Drosophila melanogaster: one gene and its partners. Each later gene encodes a partner of the first gene's protein in a complex. Each region holds a gene or a part of one and is shown in the gene's direction. Other genes may lie near its edges.

Region 1 (4,505 bases):
CGCCATCGACGGATACCCGGAAATTGCACAGGTAAATGGTGTCCTGGACACCGCCGGCTAGCTCCTCGCTGGTGTTGGCATGCGATGCCTTTGGCAAGGCAATCGTATTGCTGCTGTTGCTCGCCTGTTGTTGCTGCAACACCAGGGGTTGCTGCTGTGTCTGTTGCGGTTGTGGCGGCTGCTGTTTCGGCTGCACTTGTTGTGAGGGTGGATTCTGACCCTTTTGGCTCTTCGCCGCTGCTGCTTGCGCCCTTGTTGTTGCCGTTGCTCCAATTGCTGTTGCTGTTGTGCCAGTTGGAGTTGCTGCCGTGGCGGACTTTGCAGACTTGCCTACTTGTTGTTGCCCCGTTTGAGGCGCCTTCTTGGCAGCCATTGTTCCTGACGACAATGACGTCGCGCTGCCCGATGTTGGCGTTTTCACTGCACTTCTCAAGGGCTTCGAGCTGCTGCCGCTGGCACTTGATCCTGTTGCAAGGCTGCTCGACTTGATGCGACCGCTGCCGCTGGTGCTGCTGAGGTTGTTGTTGTTCGCCGACGACAACTTGGTCCTTTTTGTATCCTCGACAAGTCCACGCATTTCGCTGCTGCTTCAAAGTACGCCTGAGTAGTGTGTGTGTGTGCGTGGGCGTCCATAAAAATACAGATATATACATATATCGATATTAGCTGTTCAATAAGTTCCGAGTTTCCTTTGCTGCCGCTTTCCCTCAACTGTTTTTTCATTACCTTAGAGGGGTTTTTTCCTTTTGTAAACCTCTTTTCCAGAGGGTTTTACTTCTGAAATTAACAAAATAACCGAAAGTTCTCGCCGCTTTGATTTTGCACCGTTATCCTGTTGTGTACGCGTTGAGTAAGACTGGCAAAAAGTTCTTTATCCTATTGATTTGTCCAGTGCGCCAAGCTCGCAAGCTCCTCGCGAGCTTTCGTTGGGGGTGTTCTCGATGGTCACGCTGTGTGTGGTGCGCAAATCACCTTTGACACTTTCCCAATGCACTTTTAAGTTATTTTTAATCATATTATTTATACAAGTACCGAAATATTTCAACGACAGTTTCGCACAGCCCACGAAATTGCTAATACTAATTAATAAATACATTTTAGAATAGTTTTGAGTACCTAAATTGTTATATTAAATATATATGTGTATATATTTATATATATTATATATAATATATTTTATATATGCAACATTATTACTTAACATATTATTATTAGCGCACAATGGAAATTTGGTTTCCATTGCTGCTTATCATCGAATGAATAATAATTCGGACTCACCGCGTTTCAGTCGCTTTGCTTTCAGTTTCGATGGCGACGGGGATGAAGCACTGGCGCTCGCCACCGTGTCCGGCGCAACAGGTACAACAGGTGGTGCGGGCTCGTCGGGATACGGGTACGTGGTGGTGCCATCGATTACCTCGGAAGAGGCGGCTGCTGCGGCCGCATTCGAGAACTGTGTGGATATGTGGCTGAAGATCTGCGAGGAGATGCTCTCCGTGCGCCGGAAGGTGTTCCGCAGGCGGTCCAGCGATGACGTGGGGGCGCTGGGCGCAGGCGCGGCACCTCCGGTGGTGGGCGTAACCGGAATGGAGACACTCGAGGATTGGGAGTCTTCACTCCTTTCGCGGCGCACCAGCAGATCGTCCGTGCTCATGGCGAATCACTTGCTTCGCGGCGATTATCAGGACACTGTGCGGAGTCACATGAATCAAAATGACGCGATTACAGCCGCTAATTTCGCTTGTTTTGCGCTTGAACGCGGGTAAACAAAAAAGTTTGTCAATACAAAATTAAAACAGCTGTTGCACTGCGATTGGGGATGGGCGATAACAATCACTGGTTACAGATCACGGTTATCGCAGCTCGATGGGAGCTGTTATGTTATTGAACTGACTATGCTTATCGATAAGAAAACTCAAGCAGGTGTTAAAAGCATCATAGGGTGGCAACACTGTGCCCACTTTTACCGCCAAAATAAATTGCTAGGTTTATTTACGAAAATTAAACGCCCAACGAAAGGACAACGAATGGAGGAGGAATTGAAGCAGCAGTTCGACGAGATGGGCGTGGAGCCAGCGGACGCAGTTCTGGGCAGGTGTGCGGAGCTGGCCATTACCTACAACATCCACGACGCCACCGAGTTCGTGGAGCAGTGGATGGCCTTCAGTTTGTCGCACCTCCAAGGCGAGGATCCTGCGATCGAGAATCTGGGCGACTTTGAGCGCAAGGTGTTGCAGCTGCGGAAGGACAAGGCGGGATACAAGGCAACTGGCCAGAAGGCGAAATCATATGGTTCGCCCTCTGTACAGGATACGAGCTCACTGGCCACCTATGGCGTCATGGAGGACGATCCCATGCTGGATGACTATGTCAGCGAATCGGCAGTGGACTCCTCCGCTCTGCACACGCCCAAGGCCAAGAAGCAGTCGGATCGGACCGCCAATCTCAAGGGCGCCGCACTCTTTAGCCCCGCCAGCTATACACCCCAATCGGCAAAGAGGAAAGCAGGTTTAGAAACACCATCCAACTCAGTGGCCGGCAAGCCGGGCGATATAGTTGACACCTTCGGACATCCCAAACTCCTGGCTGGCTCCAGCTGGCAGTCACAAATGGAGCACACGGTTCCGGTGACTCAAAAACTGCTGCACAACGACGCCCCGCTGACCATCGCAAATTTGGGCTACATGAACGACCTGCTGACCGACCGATGTCACAACCTGCGCGTCCGCTTCAACCAAACCGGTCCGGCACTAGTGGACAAGAAACTTGGACAAGCAGGCGCAGCCGAGTGCATTTGGTATCCGCAGGATAGGCAGGTATTGCAGTCCGCAGGTGGACTCCACGCGGTGGGAATGATTCATTCCGAGGACGATGGCCCACTGGACGCCCACTCCGCATTTATGGCCGTTTTAGATGACGATGTAGAAGATGAAATGGACCCAACGCTCACGCTCAACTTCTCCAGGGTCAAGTCTGCCAGCATATTCCCAGGTCAAGTGGTGCTCGCCAAAGGGTTCATACCCAGGGGCAAAACCTTCATGGTAGAGGAGATACACACAGAGCGCAAACTGACGCCAGCAACGCCACTGCAAATAGACAGGGAGCTTCAGTTTGTGGTGGCCTCCGGACCCTTTACGGACAGTACGGATCTCTTCTACGAACCGCTGCACGACCTGCTCAAGTACCTCAAGGATCACAGACCTGACGTGCTGGTGCTCACGGGACCATTCCTGGATGCCGATCACAAGATGGTCGGCGAACTGGCCGAGACCTTCGATACATTCTTCGAGAAGATGATTGGGGGAATAATGGAGTCGATTGGTAGTCACACAGCAGTGCTGGTGGTGACCAGTCAGAAGGATGCCATGGCTCTTTCCGTATATCCAACGCCGCCGCCCGCTCTGCGCAGAACCTATCCAAATCTATACATGCTGCCCGATCCATCTCTGGTGGACTTGGATGGCTTTACGCTGGGCGTTACCTCAACCGACGTGGTGGACCACCTGTTGAGTCACGAGTTTGCTGTGAATGCCGGCGAGCGGATGCACAGGGCCATCAACCACTTGTTCCACCAGGGCTCCTTCTATCCTTTGTATCCGCCGGCGGACGAAGACATGGCCTACGATTCCCAGCTGGCGTTGAAATATGCACAGCTCAAACAGCTACCAAATGTGCTCATCTTGCCCAGCGATCAGCGGCATTTCATCCGCTTGGTCAACGACTGCCTGGTGATCAATCCCGGCCGTGTCGCGGACAAGAAGGGTGGAACTTTCGCCCGATTCCTGGTGGCGCCTTCGGTGCCGGGAAAGGCGGCCAACATGTTCAACAGTGTGGCGTGTCAAGTCCAACGCATCTAACCTGACCACTTTGTGATGATGATAAGGAAAGGATAGTGGGAAATAGATCAGTACAATATTATTAGTTAATATAATGAACACACTACTTTGTCATAACTTTTCACAAAATACATTCAACAACAAACAACTAGCATTAGTTATTTTGGGCCAAAGTAGGTATTGTATTATTTGTAAACATATGCCCTGGAGTTTTCTCAGACTCAAGTTTTATATACAACAAGATCAATAATGGCTAGCAACGTTGCTGCGCCACAAGCTTCAGCTGGAGGAGATTCGACGGAACTGGAGCGCTGTTGCTGGATCTGTTTTGAGACCGATAAGGAGGCAGGTCGCCAGGCTTGGGTGAATCCATGTCTCTGCCGAGGAACCAATAAGTGGGTGCACCAGAGCTGCATTTCCCTCTGGATCGACGAGAAGACCCGAATAAACAACAATCTGCAAGCCGTTTCCTGTCCACAATGCCAAACGGAGTACACCATTGCATACCCGAATCTCTGGATTTTCGATAGGGCTTTGGAGCTGACCAACGATCTTATCCTAACAAACTTATATAATTGCCTGGCCAATGTCTTCACGGTGGTCTTTGCCTATTGGTCAGCGGTTTCATTCGGAGCAAAAACATATTTGCAGATCACTGGTCAGGAAGGT
Region 2 (4,160 bases), on another chromosome or scaffold:
GGAGATCCTCGACTTGAGCTCGAACCATGTGGGCAATTGGTACCGCAGTGCCTTCCACAACAACTCCGCCCTAAGGGTTTTGAACCTGAGAAGCAACACCATCAACATGCTGTCCAACGAGATGTTGAAGGACTTTGAGCGATTGGATTACCTTAGTCTCGGGGACAACGACTTTATTTGCGACTGCCATTTGAGAGCGGTGGTGGAGGTGGCGGCCGCCAATAATAAAGATGCAGACTGCTCCTATAGACTGCTGAACTATAGTCAGAATGCCGTAGGTGAGGAGGTAATATCTCTGGCGGAGTCACTAATTATAGATCGCAAGCTATGGCAGAGTCGCTATATTCCCTGGCTGCAGAGAAGTTACTCCAACATCAGGGAGTTCAATCGCGCGAATCATATAATCAAGCTGCGCTTCTCCTCCGAGGACTACATGGTAGCCAAGTGCTCCGCGGCCCAGCCATACCACTTAGGGGACCTTGACGGAGATCTTACCCTAAAATTTCAGCTGCTCGACTACGAGGCCAGTCAGTATTACTGCTTCAACAACACCGATCAGCTCCAGGTGGATGAGCTCAACTGCCAGATCAGGTCGATGAGTGACCTCGCCGAGGAGTTGCACCACGTTACGAACACAGTGATCGCAGTCATGGGCAGCTTAGTTGGCGCTTGCATCCTGGGATTTATAATTTATCTGAAGCGCTGGCACATCCACTACTATTACTCTTCCCTGAAGTCCGCTGCCTTGTTGTCCAGTGCGTCCAAGGAGTCGGTGAATAAATTCACAAACATATCCCAGAGAGATCCCAGTGCCGTCTACGATATCTTCATCAGCTACTGCCAGAATGATCGGACCTGGGTGCTCAATGAACTGCTGCCGAACGTGGAGGAAACTGGGGATGTGTCCATTTGTCTGCATGAAAGAGATTTTCAGGTGAAGCGTACTTATCTTACAACATTAACTTACTAATAAAGTGAAACCTTAACCCTTAATTCACATGCAGATTGGAGTGACCATCCTAGATAACATCATCTCCTGCATGGATCGCTCGTATTCCCTTATGCTGATCATATCCTCCAAGTTCCTGTTGAGTCATTGGTGTCAATTTGAAATGTATTTGGCACAGCATCGGTAAGGAATCTTTATCTGTAAAATTCAAATATTAAAATCAATATATGTGTGTATATTGTAGCATCTTTGAGGTCAGCAAGGAGCACTTGATCCTGGTTTTTCTGGAGGACATTCCACGGCGAAAGCGACCCAAGACTTTGCAATATCTCATGGATGTGAAAACGTATATAAAGTGGCCGACGGCCAAGGAGGATCGAAAGCTGTTTTGGAAACGTCTGAAGAGATCCCTGGAGGTCATAGGGATCAACTCCAGAGAGATCAGTGTTTAGAAAACATGTAATTTTATCCGGAGAGTTCTAGTCAGTTGTGCACGTACCTGATATAGTATATAAACTACTTAATTACACTTTCATGAAGACGAAAGTTTCCCCACAGTAATCATAGTAATATGCAAAATTTGCTGCTGAACATAAGTATAGTTTAAACATATATTAATAAATAAAGGTATTTAGGTTTTTAAGAGCTTATGTGATGTTTTTGAAATATCTTAACAAAGGCAATAGCGTCGTATATTAAACATAACCTACTACTACTGGACACTATGTAAACAAAGCTAAGGCCTAAGAAATATCTAACAATGCAACACACAATCAATACATCAGTACCAATTGACTGATAATAACAATTAAAAACGTTTAATTTTGAAATACAAATTGAATAAACCGCAAGCATCGATAATGAGCAGAAAACTATCGATAACAACTGACACAGCTGATATTTGCCATCAGTAGTTTGCGCGCCAAAACAACAAACGGGCATTCCACAAATTGTAAATTACTATAGCAATTCCCGCGACTCACAATGGAGTTTGGTCTGAAGAAACGCGCGAGACATGAGGTGAAGGTGGAGGTGGCCAGCCTGGAAACCAAGTACCCGCACAACGTCATGCTGTACCACTATCCGCCGACGGAGGACGTGCACATAGACGAATTCGAGGAGCTGGCTCTAGAGCGCTTGCGCCTTCTCCGCGTCCTGGATCGCGCAAGCACCCGGAACCTGCGCGTGCTCTCAGATGAATGGAAGGAAATCGTGAGTGCGGACCTGACCCGCGAGGGATTGCGCAGCTATTTAAGGCTCTGCTCCACCGGCGGAAGCGCCAAGCACGAGGCGGATATCCAGACCCGCAGGCGGGACTATCTTTCGCACTTCATCTTGCGGCTGGCCTACTGCCGCTCCGAGGACCTTGCGCGCTGGTTCGTGGCCCGCGAAATGGAGCTCTTCCGGTACAAATTCGCTGCACTTAGCAGCTTCGAGGTGAAGCAGTTCCTTGAGGCCAACGGCTTTGAGATTCACCCCCTCACCGAGGCCCAGAAGGACGAAGTCAAGGACGGCCTGTACGAGAGCACGGTCGGACAGAGCGTGGCGAAGATCGAGCTGTTGGACTTCTACAAGGTGCCCTTCACCCAGGTGCTCGATCTGGTGCGCGGACGTCGCTGCTTTTTAAAGGCTGGCTACGCCTATGTTAACACCCACGACCTGGTGTCCCTAGTGGGCACCAAGCAGCAGGACGAGATCGAGCAAGGCCTGCAGGCTGCTAAGACTATGGTGGAGGATGTAGAAGCCGACGAGCGCATCTCCCGCACACTTAAAGCTCTACATAACTCGTATACCGGTAGGGATTACACCGTTTGTCGGGATGCAGCTGTGCCCATCGAGTCGCTCGATCAGCTCTCCAAGACCTCCATGCCGTTGTGTATGCGCATGTGCCACGAGCACATTCGTGCCAACCATCACATAAAACATAGCGGCCGAATGCAATACGGCCTGTTTCTCAAAGGAATTGGCGTGGCACTGGAGGATTCGCTGCGCTTCTGGCGCGAAGAGTTTACCAAGAAAATGGACGCGGATAAGTTTACACGCAGCTACGAGTACAATATTTACCATAACTACGGAAAGAAGGGTTCCATGGTCAACTACACACCCTACTCGTGCGCCAAGATTATCAAGGATGTGGCGGGGCCGGGCGATTGCCACGGCTGTCCGTATAAGAACATGGATCAGGGCTCGTTGAAAACCAAGCTGTCCTCCTATGGCCTGTCAGCCAGTGCCATCGACGAGGTGATGTTCTTTGTGTCCCGCGGTCACTATCAAATTGGATGCGGCAAGTACTTCCAACTTACCCACAATTCACCCGTCGAGCCGAGCATCAATCACCCCAACAACTACTTCGAGGAGAGCCAGATAGCGATGGGCAACCGGCAGAAGCGCGCCAATGGTTCTGCTCCGCCCAAGGCCAGAATCCGTCCAGATATCAAGGGCCATGGGGATCGGTCCATGCTGATGGGTGACGATGACGATGAGTTGTGGCGAATCGCGGAAACCCAGGAGCGTATCATGCAGAGCCAAAAGGACATATCCGAGGCCTTCAATGATGATCTAGATCTTACGCAAATCGATTACTAAACGTTGTACAACATAAATTAACTAAGGTACATATATATTTAAGCATCGTAAATAAGAAAAGTTATATTATTCCATGGTTCGGACTTCACCTCCGGCACAAGTAGCACGTTTTAAGCCTAGGATCAACAGTGTTCTCCGAGTTTCGGCCGTAAGGGGGCCAGCCATTGACATCTACGTAGTAGATGCCCCTGGCTTGGGGATTCATTCGATAGCCCATCGGGGAAACTATGCCAGCAGAACAATCCCGTTTTCTTAGCTCATCCCAAGAAGCGCACTTCTTGCCCATAAAGTTCTTCTCTTGGTGTGGATATGCACTCTCGGCGAAATACTCAACGGCTCGGGTATGAGAGCATCCGATGGTTAGGCAGCCTGGCTGGATGGGATGTGCTCCGCCGGGATAGAAGTCCACATCACCGAGGGGTCCACGCTTGGCCAAAATACCAATGTTGGTGTGGATTATGTCCACTAGCTTGGCATCGCCACGCGTCAATCCTGGCAGAATCTTTTCCCGCCTGAAACATGGCTTGGCCGGATCCAAGCCAGTTATCCTGGGTATAAGTTTTCCGGTAAGCTTCTTAAAAGTCCGACCAGCAGTGCCCATAATGTGAGCTCCTAGTGAATGTCC
Region 3 (7,591 bases), 5.6 Mb from region 1:
GAACAACGGCCTGGATGTTCTGGACTGCGCTGGACTGGAGCACCACAACGCGGCCACCACTTCCGGTCACTCAGGCAGCGGCTTCTCCCAGCGCCTCAGGGAACTGGCCGCCTCCGCCGGACTGCTCTCCCTGAAGCCCCGCCAGCCTCTCAAGCCGGTGATCAAGACGCGTGGCTCCCCCGGACCGGAGTTCCCCAAGAAGGTCACCTTTAGTGCCTTTGCCACCGTGCAGGTGGTGTGAAGGGCGTGAACAGTGGGTCTAGCATCTGTTGCATCTGTGCAGGCACAGAGCAAGGTAATAACATTTACTTTTTGTTTTTTAAGTATTTTTAAGAATACTCCAGATCAAGATAATTCTTTGATACAAAATAAACTTTAGAAAAATATGAAATACATTTAAGCAAGCAATGTAATTATACTGGAATAAGAATTGCAACCCACTTTATATTCTGATTTAATATAGTTACATAATAACATAGTATAATATTAAACCAATTGTAAACTGAATTATTCATTGATTCTTTTTCTTCTCTTTTCATTTCAGTATCATCTTGCACTTGTTAACGATTATTTCTTGTTGTTTTTATATTTGTTGCTGTTGTTAAATGTTTAGCCAAAACTATGGAAACCATACACGGAGAAAAATTCCTTAAAACATAAAAAAAAAACATAATAAATTGTTGTGCCATGTCTGTGGCTTGAAATAAAAATGAAAACCATATAGAAATGAATAACACACCCCATAGCTAAAGAAAATACCTCAAGGATCCTAAATAACTGCCCTCCTTTATCTTATTTTATCTGCTTTGCTTAACTGCCCTCCTTTATCTTATTTTATCTGCTTTGCTGTACATTCTGGTAGACTGACATTTTAATATCCTTTCTATAGTTCCTCTCGATCACCCTATCCTAAAACAGTATTTTCCATATTTTCTCATCTTCCGAAATCTTTCCTCACCAACACACCCGAAAATAATTGTAAAATATAACGACTGCAAGTGCAGAAATTCTAAATATTTACTATTAAATTGTAAATATGTACGAATTTTTGCTTATAACAATTAAACAGCAAATATAGTCATAAATATATGTATTCATGTAATATGTAAGTCTGTTTTGTGTATGTGTGTATATATATAAACCATGATTTTGCATTGATAATTATATAGGGTATGAAATCACCTTTCAAATCCACACAAATTTTAATCGAAATTGCTGTATATTGTATTTAAAGTATAATATTATATATATCTTATAAGCCTAATATTATGCATGATAAATAAAATACGATTAAAACCAAACAAACTATTGTCTTTTAATTTGGGAATAAAAACATATGACAAGCACATTAAAAGGGGATCTTCATGGAGCAACTGCTAATGGAAAAGTTTTTCTTTTTGTGATCCACTGCAATTAAAAAGCTGAAGCTCGAAAATGTAAAATCTAAAAGAACGCCCTTTAAATGGTGATCATTGTTCTTTCTTACTTGGTGAATTCATTTCAATTATCAGGTCGGATTTCCCGCCAAAATATAGCAGTCATTTTAAATCGCTGTAACTGTTATGTTAACTATTCGTGTTAACTGTAATCGATCATTTGTGCTTACAGATTAGACGCTAACAGTGCCCAGAGCTAACATAACGCGCTGCCACCTATCGATATATTACCACTCAGAAATTCATAAAATAGAGATGTTACTTAATAATAAAATTGCAATTTGGGATTAAGTTATTGTATGGCTTTTATTTTTTTTAATTTCCTTACATTCTTCCTCTTCTTAACGACACTATCGATATTACATTGCAAAAGTCCGGCAGCGCTTTATGTATCGTAGCTCTGTTATCGATATGTTCCCGCCATTCCCGCTTTGATCATCCTCCAGCCCTGGTCACAAAACAATTTTTGCAAACTGCAGCACAACACGGGGAAATTATTATCAAAGTTAGCCAGTTGCAATGTCTGAATCACCGTGTAAGTTAATAAGATAACTCCCTTAAACATATTTTTTACCGAAATTATAAATTTCCAGCTGAACCGCGCGCTAAGCGCCAGAGAGTAGACAAAAATGGTAGGTTCGCCGCCATGGAGCGACTGCGTCAGCTGAAGGGAACCAAGAACAAATGCAAAGTGGAGGACCAGGTGGACGATGTATACGATGTGGTTGATGAGCGGGAGTACGCGAAGAGGGCGCAGGAAAAGTACGGTGACGATTGGATCGAAGAGGGTAAGTTGGAACTCTGAACTCTATACTTTATAATACTAAATTTTAACTTTTAGATGGTACTGGTTATGCAGAAGATCTTCGGGATTTCTTCGAGGACGAAGATGAGTACTCCGATGGGGAGGAGGATCGGAAGGACTCGAAGAAGAAGAAGGGTGTTGCCCCCAACAGCAAAAAGAGACCACGGGAGAATGAAAAACCAGTAACAGGAAAAGCATCCATCAAGAATCTATTCAGCAATGCAGTGCCCAAAAAGATGGATGTAAAGACCAGTGTGAAAGACGATGATATCCTTGCTGATATTTTGGGCGAAATAAAGGAAGAGCCTGCAGCGACGTCAGAAAAGGCGGAAAAGGTTATAGCCCCAGCGAAAATATCAGTTACGTCGCGTAAATTCGATGCCGCCGCTGCCAAGGAATACATGAATAGTTTTCTAAACAACATCAAAGTTCAGGAGCAGGAACGTAAGAAAGCGGAGGCCAGTAGCGATAACGAGATGCTGGAGCGCATTCTGAAGCCCAAGGCAGCAGTTCCAAACACAAAGGTGGCCTTTTTCTCCAGTCCTACAATCAAAAAAGAGCCCATGCCTGAAAAGACACCTGCAAAAAAAGCCACCGAAGATCCATTCTCCGACAATGAAATGGACTTTAGCTGTCTGGATGACGATGAAAACCAGTTTGATGTGGAGAAGACACAGCAGACCGAGAAGGTTTCCCAAACGAAAACAGCAGCTGAGAAAACATCCCAAAGCAAAGTCGCCGAAAAATCAGCTCCCAAAAAAGAAACAACTGGATCGCCAAAGGAATCGGAATCGGAGGACATTAGTAGGTTGCTGAACAATTGGGAGTCTATATGCCAAATGGACGATGATTTTGAAAAGTCCGTGCTCACCACGGAGCAGGATTCGACAATCTCCTCAGATCAACAGCTTCGGTTCTGGTACTGGGAGGCCTATGAGGATCCAGTAAAAATGCCCGGCGAAGTCTTCCTGTTCGGTCGGACCGCAGATGGAAAGTCCGTCTGTCTGCGTGTACAGAACATCAACCGTGTGCTCTATCTGCTGCCCCGACAATTTGTGAGTATTATTCTACAAATACTTAGTCCTTAGGTGAAGTGTTGTTTCTGAATATATTCTTTTAGCTCTTAGATCCCATTTCGAAGGAGCCCACCAAGCAGAAGGTGACCGTCGCAGACATATACAAGGAGTTCGACAGCGAGGTGGCAAACCAACTGAAGCTCGAGTTCTTTCGATCCCGCAAGGTCACCAAGAGTTTTGCCCATCACGCTATCGGTATTGAAGTTCCGCAATCTTGCGATTACTTGGAGGTTCACTACGATGGAAAGAAACCACTGCCCAATTTGTCGGCTGACAAGAAATACAATTCTATAGCACACATATTCGGCGCCACCACCAATGCACTCGAAAGATTCCTCTTAGATCGGAAAATCAAAGGTCCCTGTTGGCTGCAGGTGACTGGATTCAAGGTGAGCCCAACTCCCATGAGTTGGTGTAACACCGAGGTCACATTGACAGAGCCCAAGAATGTAGAGTTGGTGCAAGATAAGGGAAAGCCAGCGCCACCACCTCCACTTACGCTACTATCGCTTAATGTTCGCACCTCAATGAATCCGAAAACATCGAGAAACGAGATATGCATGATTTCCATGCTGACCCACAATCGTTTCCATATCGACCGCCCTGCTCCACAGCCCGCTTTCAATCGACATATGTGCGCTTTGACTCGCCCGGCGGTGGTTAGTTGGCCTTTAGATTTGAACTTTGAGATGGCAAAATATAAGTCTACCACAGTGCACAAACATGACTCAGAGAGAGCCCTGTTGAGTTGGTTCTTAGCTCAGTACCAGAAAATAGATGCAGATCTCATTGTAACCTTCGATTCCATGGATTGTCAACTAAATGTAATAACCGATCAAATTGTAGCCCTGAAGATTCCCCAATGGTCTCGAATGGGGCGACTGAGGCTGAGCCAATCGTTTGGCAAGCGATTGCTGGAACATTTCGTCGGCAGAATGGTTTGTGATGTAAAGCGATCTGCAGAGGAGTGTATAAGAGCAAGATCCTATGATCTGCAAACGCTATGCAAACAAGTACTGAAGCTTAAGGAATCGGAGAGAATGGAAGTGAATGCCGATGATCTGCTAGAGATGTATGAGAAAGGAGAAAGCATTACCAAGCTCATATCGCTCACCATGCAGGACAATTCATATTTACTAAGGCTGATGTGTGAGCTCAACATCATGCCGTTGGCGCTACAAATCACTAATATCTGCGGCAATACCATGACCAGGACCCTTCAAGGAGGTCGTTCTGAACGAAATGAGTTCTTGTTGCTGCATGCCTTCCACGAGAAGAATTACATAGTGCCGGACAAGAAGCCGGTTTCTAAACGAAGTGGTGCAGGAGATACGGATGCTACGCTTTCAGGTGCAGATGCGACGATGCAAACCAAAAAGAAGGCAGCCTATGCTGGTGGCTTAGTGTTGGAGCCCATGCGTGGTCTCTACGAGAAGTACGTTCTCCTCATGGACTTTAACTCCCTGTACCCCAGTATAATACAGGAGTACAACATATGCTTCACCACCGTCCAACAGCCGGTGGATGCAGATGAGTTGCCCACCCTACCCGACTCGAAAACGGAACCTGGAATCTTACCCCTTCAATTGAAACGCTTGGTGGAGTCGCGAAAAGAGGTGAAAAAGCTAATGGCAGCGCCTGATCTTTCGCCGGAACTCCAGATGCAGTACCACATTCGGCAGATGGCCCTGAAGCTAACTGCGAACTCCATGTATGGTTGCTTGGGTTTCGCCCACTCCCGGTTCTTTGCCCAGCACTTGGCTGCTTTGGTCACCCACAAGGGCAGAGAAATCCTCACGAACACACAACAACTCGTGCAAAAGATGAACTATGACGTTGTTTATGGAGACACAGATTCCCTGATGATAAATACCAACATAACCGACTACGACCAGGTCTACAAGATTGGTCACAATATTAAGCAGAGTGTAAATAAACTATACAAGCAGCTGGAATTGGATATCGATGGAGTATTTGGCTGTTTGCTCTTGCTGAAGAAAAAGAAGTATGCCGCTATCAAGTTGAGCAAGGATTCCAAGGGAAACCTGAGGCGTGAACAGGAGCACAAGGGCCTGGATATAGTACGTCGCGATTGGTCTCAGCTGGCTGTAATGGTGGGAAAAGCCGTTCTCGATGAAGTGCTGTCGGAAAAGCCTTTGGAGGAGAAACTGGATGCAGTGCATGCCCAACTGGAGAAGATCAAAACTCAAATTGCAGAGGGTGTAGTACCGCTGCCACTGTTTGTCATCACCAAACAGTTAACTCGGACTCCCCAGGAATATGCCAATAGTGCTTCATTGCCCCACGTCCAGGTGGCCCTTCGTATGAATCGCGAGCGTAATAGGCGGTACAAAAAGGGCGATATGGTGGACTATGTGATCTGTTTGGATGGGACAACAAATGCTGCCATGCAGCGAGCATACCATTTGGATGAGCTCAAGACCAGTGAGGATAAGAAGCTGCAGCTGGACACGAATTACTACCTGGGACACCAGATCCATCCGGTAGTCACGCGAATGGTGGAGGTGCTGGAGGGAACCGATGCGAGTCGCATCGCCGAGTGTCTGGGCATGGACCCAACCAAGTTCCGTCAGAATGCGCAGAGGTACTTACTATCTTATTACTCCTTACAAACTCTAACCTAACGAATATTTTGGTTATGTAGAACCCAGCGAGAGAACACCGAGCAGTCGGAGGGTGAGTCCCTGCTCAAGACGACTCTGCAGTTGTATCGCCTGTGCGAACCGTTCCGCTTCCAGTGCGTTACCTGTAAGACGGAGCAGCTGATGGCGTCTGCGTACCGACCGGGTCCAAGCAACTCCCACATAGCCGTACTCCAGCAATGCGCTAAGTCCGAGTGCCAAACGGCACCGATTCAGTACCTGGCAAGCGTGCGCAATCAGCTGCAGCTTTCCATGCGGCAGTATGTGCAACGGTTCTATAAAAATTGGCTGGTCTGCGATCACCCGGATTGCAACTTCAACACCCGCACACACTCCTTGAGGAAGAAATCCCACCGCCCGCTGTGCCAAAAGTGCAGGAGCGGCAGCCTGCTGCGTCAGTATACGGAGCGGGACCTGTACAATCAGCTGTGCTACCTGCGATTCATGTTCGACCTCGGCAAGCAAACGCTGCAGCAAAAACGTAAGTAAATACAATGTAGTTATAAGCAGTATCAAAAACTAAAACAATAGTTTGTGTATAAGAACAAAATGAAGAATGTGGAGTACGAGAGAGAAATATCGACACTAAATAACAAGACACATGAAAGGAAAAATCAGTCGAAATATTTTATAGTTCCCGTGATCTCGACGGATTTCAGTAGTTCTTTATGCTTGTATCCTTGAATTCTTAAAAATTGTTGTAGTTTATATATTAGTTCTGACACCTAATACATATATTTCCCTTAAGATTGGTATCATTAAGTTTTACAGCATTTCATATTGAAATTATATTTTGTCCATATTATCAAGCCACCCTCACACCGGAGCTGGAGCAGGCCTATCAACTCCTATACGAAACGGTGGATCAGCAGTTGCAGAGCTCCTCCTACGTGATCATCTCGCTAAGCAAGCTCTTTGCCCGATCCCTGGCTCAGATGTCCCTGCAACCGTCCGTGGCGCAGCCCCAGATCGAAGCAATTCCGAGTGCTTTGGCGGATGTGGTCTAAGTGTTTAATTAACTAGCCTTTGTTATAAGTTCCATTAAAAATACTACAAAAGAGATACAGAGATACAGTATGGTTAACTAGATGAGGTCACGTGGCGAGGAACTTCTCGAGCGGAAAGTGCCGGAAGGACTCGTTGAATATATCCGTAAATGCCGTGCTAACCAACTCGTTAATCATCGGCTTGATGAAGGGCAATCCCAGCTGCCACATGCTGTTGATGACTCCATCGGCCAGTTGGTTGAGGGGCTGTCCCTGCAGCAAGTTCTCAATGTGCAGCTCCATTCCGCCGATGCGGTCCACCTCCACATGGACCTTGATGAGTGAGCCCGGACCGCCGATGCGCCTAACGCTGGTGGTTTGACTGAGGAAGTAAATAAAGTGAGCGATAGGTTGTCATGTAAGCCAAAAGCTATCAACAATACTGGTGTTTGCAACACAGCTTGGGAAATACATATTTCCATGCAACTCGGTGCCCACCTGTAATCGTAGAGGGTGAGGTTCCAGTGGCCTTTTCTGTTCATCTCAGTACCCAGCATCTTGGCGGCGAACTCGTACTCGCCCTCCAGACTTTTGTCGGGGAAATACTGAGTGTAGACGATGCGCT

What was found. The genes of interacting proteins can lie anywhere in the genome.
Region 2: PolA2 (region 1) and Prim2 share a complex: the UniProt entries of both Drosophila melanogaster proteins name them as parts of the alpha DNA polymerase complex.
Region 3: PolA2 (region 1) and PolA1 share a complex: the UniProt entries of both Drosophila melanogaster proteins name them as parts of the alpha DNA polymerase complex.

Annotation. Positions count from the first base shown.
Region 1 is NT_033777.3:27,237,247-27,241,751, forward strand, and holds PolA2 (DNA polymerase alpha subunit 2), read left to right. Parts: upstream 1-1,916; 5' UTR 1,917-2,027; coding exon 2,028-3,857; 3' UTR 3,858-3,982; downstream 3,983-4,505. Other genes in the region: CG31064 (uncharacterized protein), read right to left, coding at 1-577; CG17991 (uncharacterized protein), read left to right, coding at 4,086-4,505. UniProt on the Drosophila melanogaster protein: Accessory subunit of the DNA polymerase alpha complex (also known as the alpha DNA polymerase-primase complex) which plays an essential role in the initiation of DNA synthesis.
Region 2 is NT_037436.4:20,359,281-20,363,440, reverse strand, and holds Prim2 (DNA primase subunit 2), read left to right. Parts: upstream 1-1,855; 5' UTR 1,856-1,933; coding exon 1,934-3,535; 3' UTR 3,536-3,608; downstream 3,609-4,160. Other genes in the region: Toll-9, read left to right, coding at 1-934, 1,005-1,132, 1,194-1,401; CG5665 (uncharacterized protein), read right to left, coding at 3,621-4,160. UniProt on the Drosophila melanogaster protein: Regulatory subunit of the DNA primase complex and component of the DNA polymerase alpha complex (also known as the alpha DNA polymerase-primase complex) which play an essential role in the initiation of DNA synthesis.
Region 3 is NT_033777.3:21,666,010-21,673,600, reverse strand, and holds PolA1 (DNA polymerase alpha subunit 1), read left to right. Parts: upstream 1-1,850; 5' UTR 1,851-1,955; coding exon 1,956-1,971; intron 1,972-2,029; coding exon 2,030-2,224; intron 2,225-2,277; coding exon 2,278-3,296; intron 3,297-3,361; coding exon 3,362-5,922; intron 5,923-5,982; coding exon 5,983-6,461; intron 6,462-6,790; coding exon 6,791-6,987; 3' UTR 6,988-7,039; downstream 7,040-7,591. Other genes in the region: CG31176 (uncharacterized protein), read left to right, coding at 1-241; Jhbp16 (juvenile hormone binding protein 16), read right to left, coding at 7,075-7,348, 7,465-7,591. UniProt on the Drosophila melanogaster protein: Catalytic subunit of the DNA polymerase alpha complex (also known as the alpha DNA polymerase-primase complex) which plays an essential role in the initiation of DNA synthesis.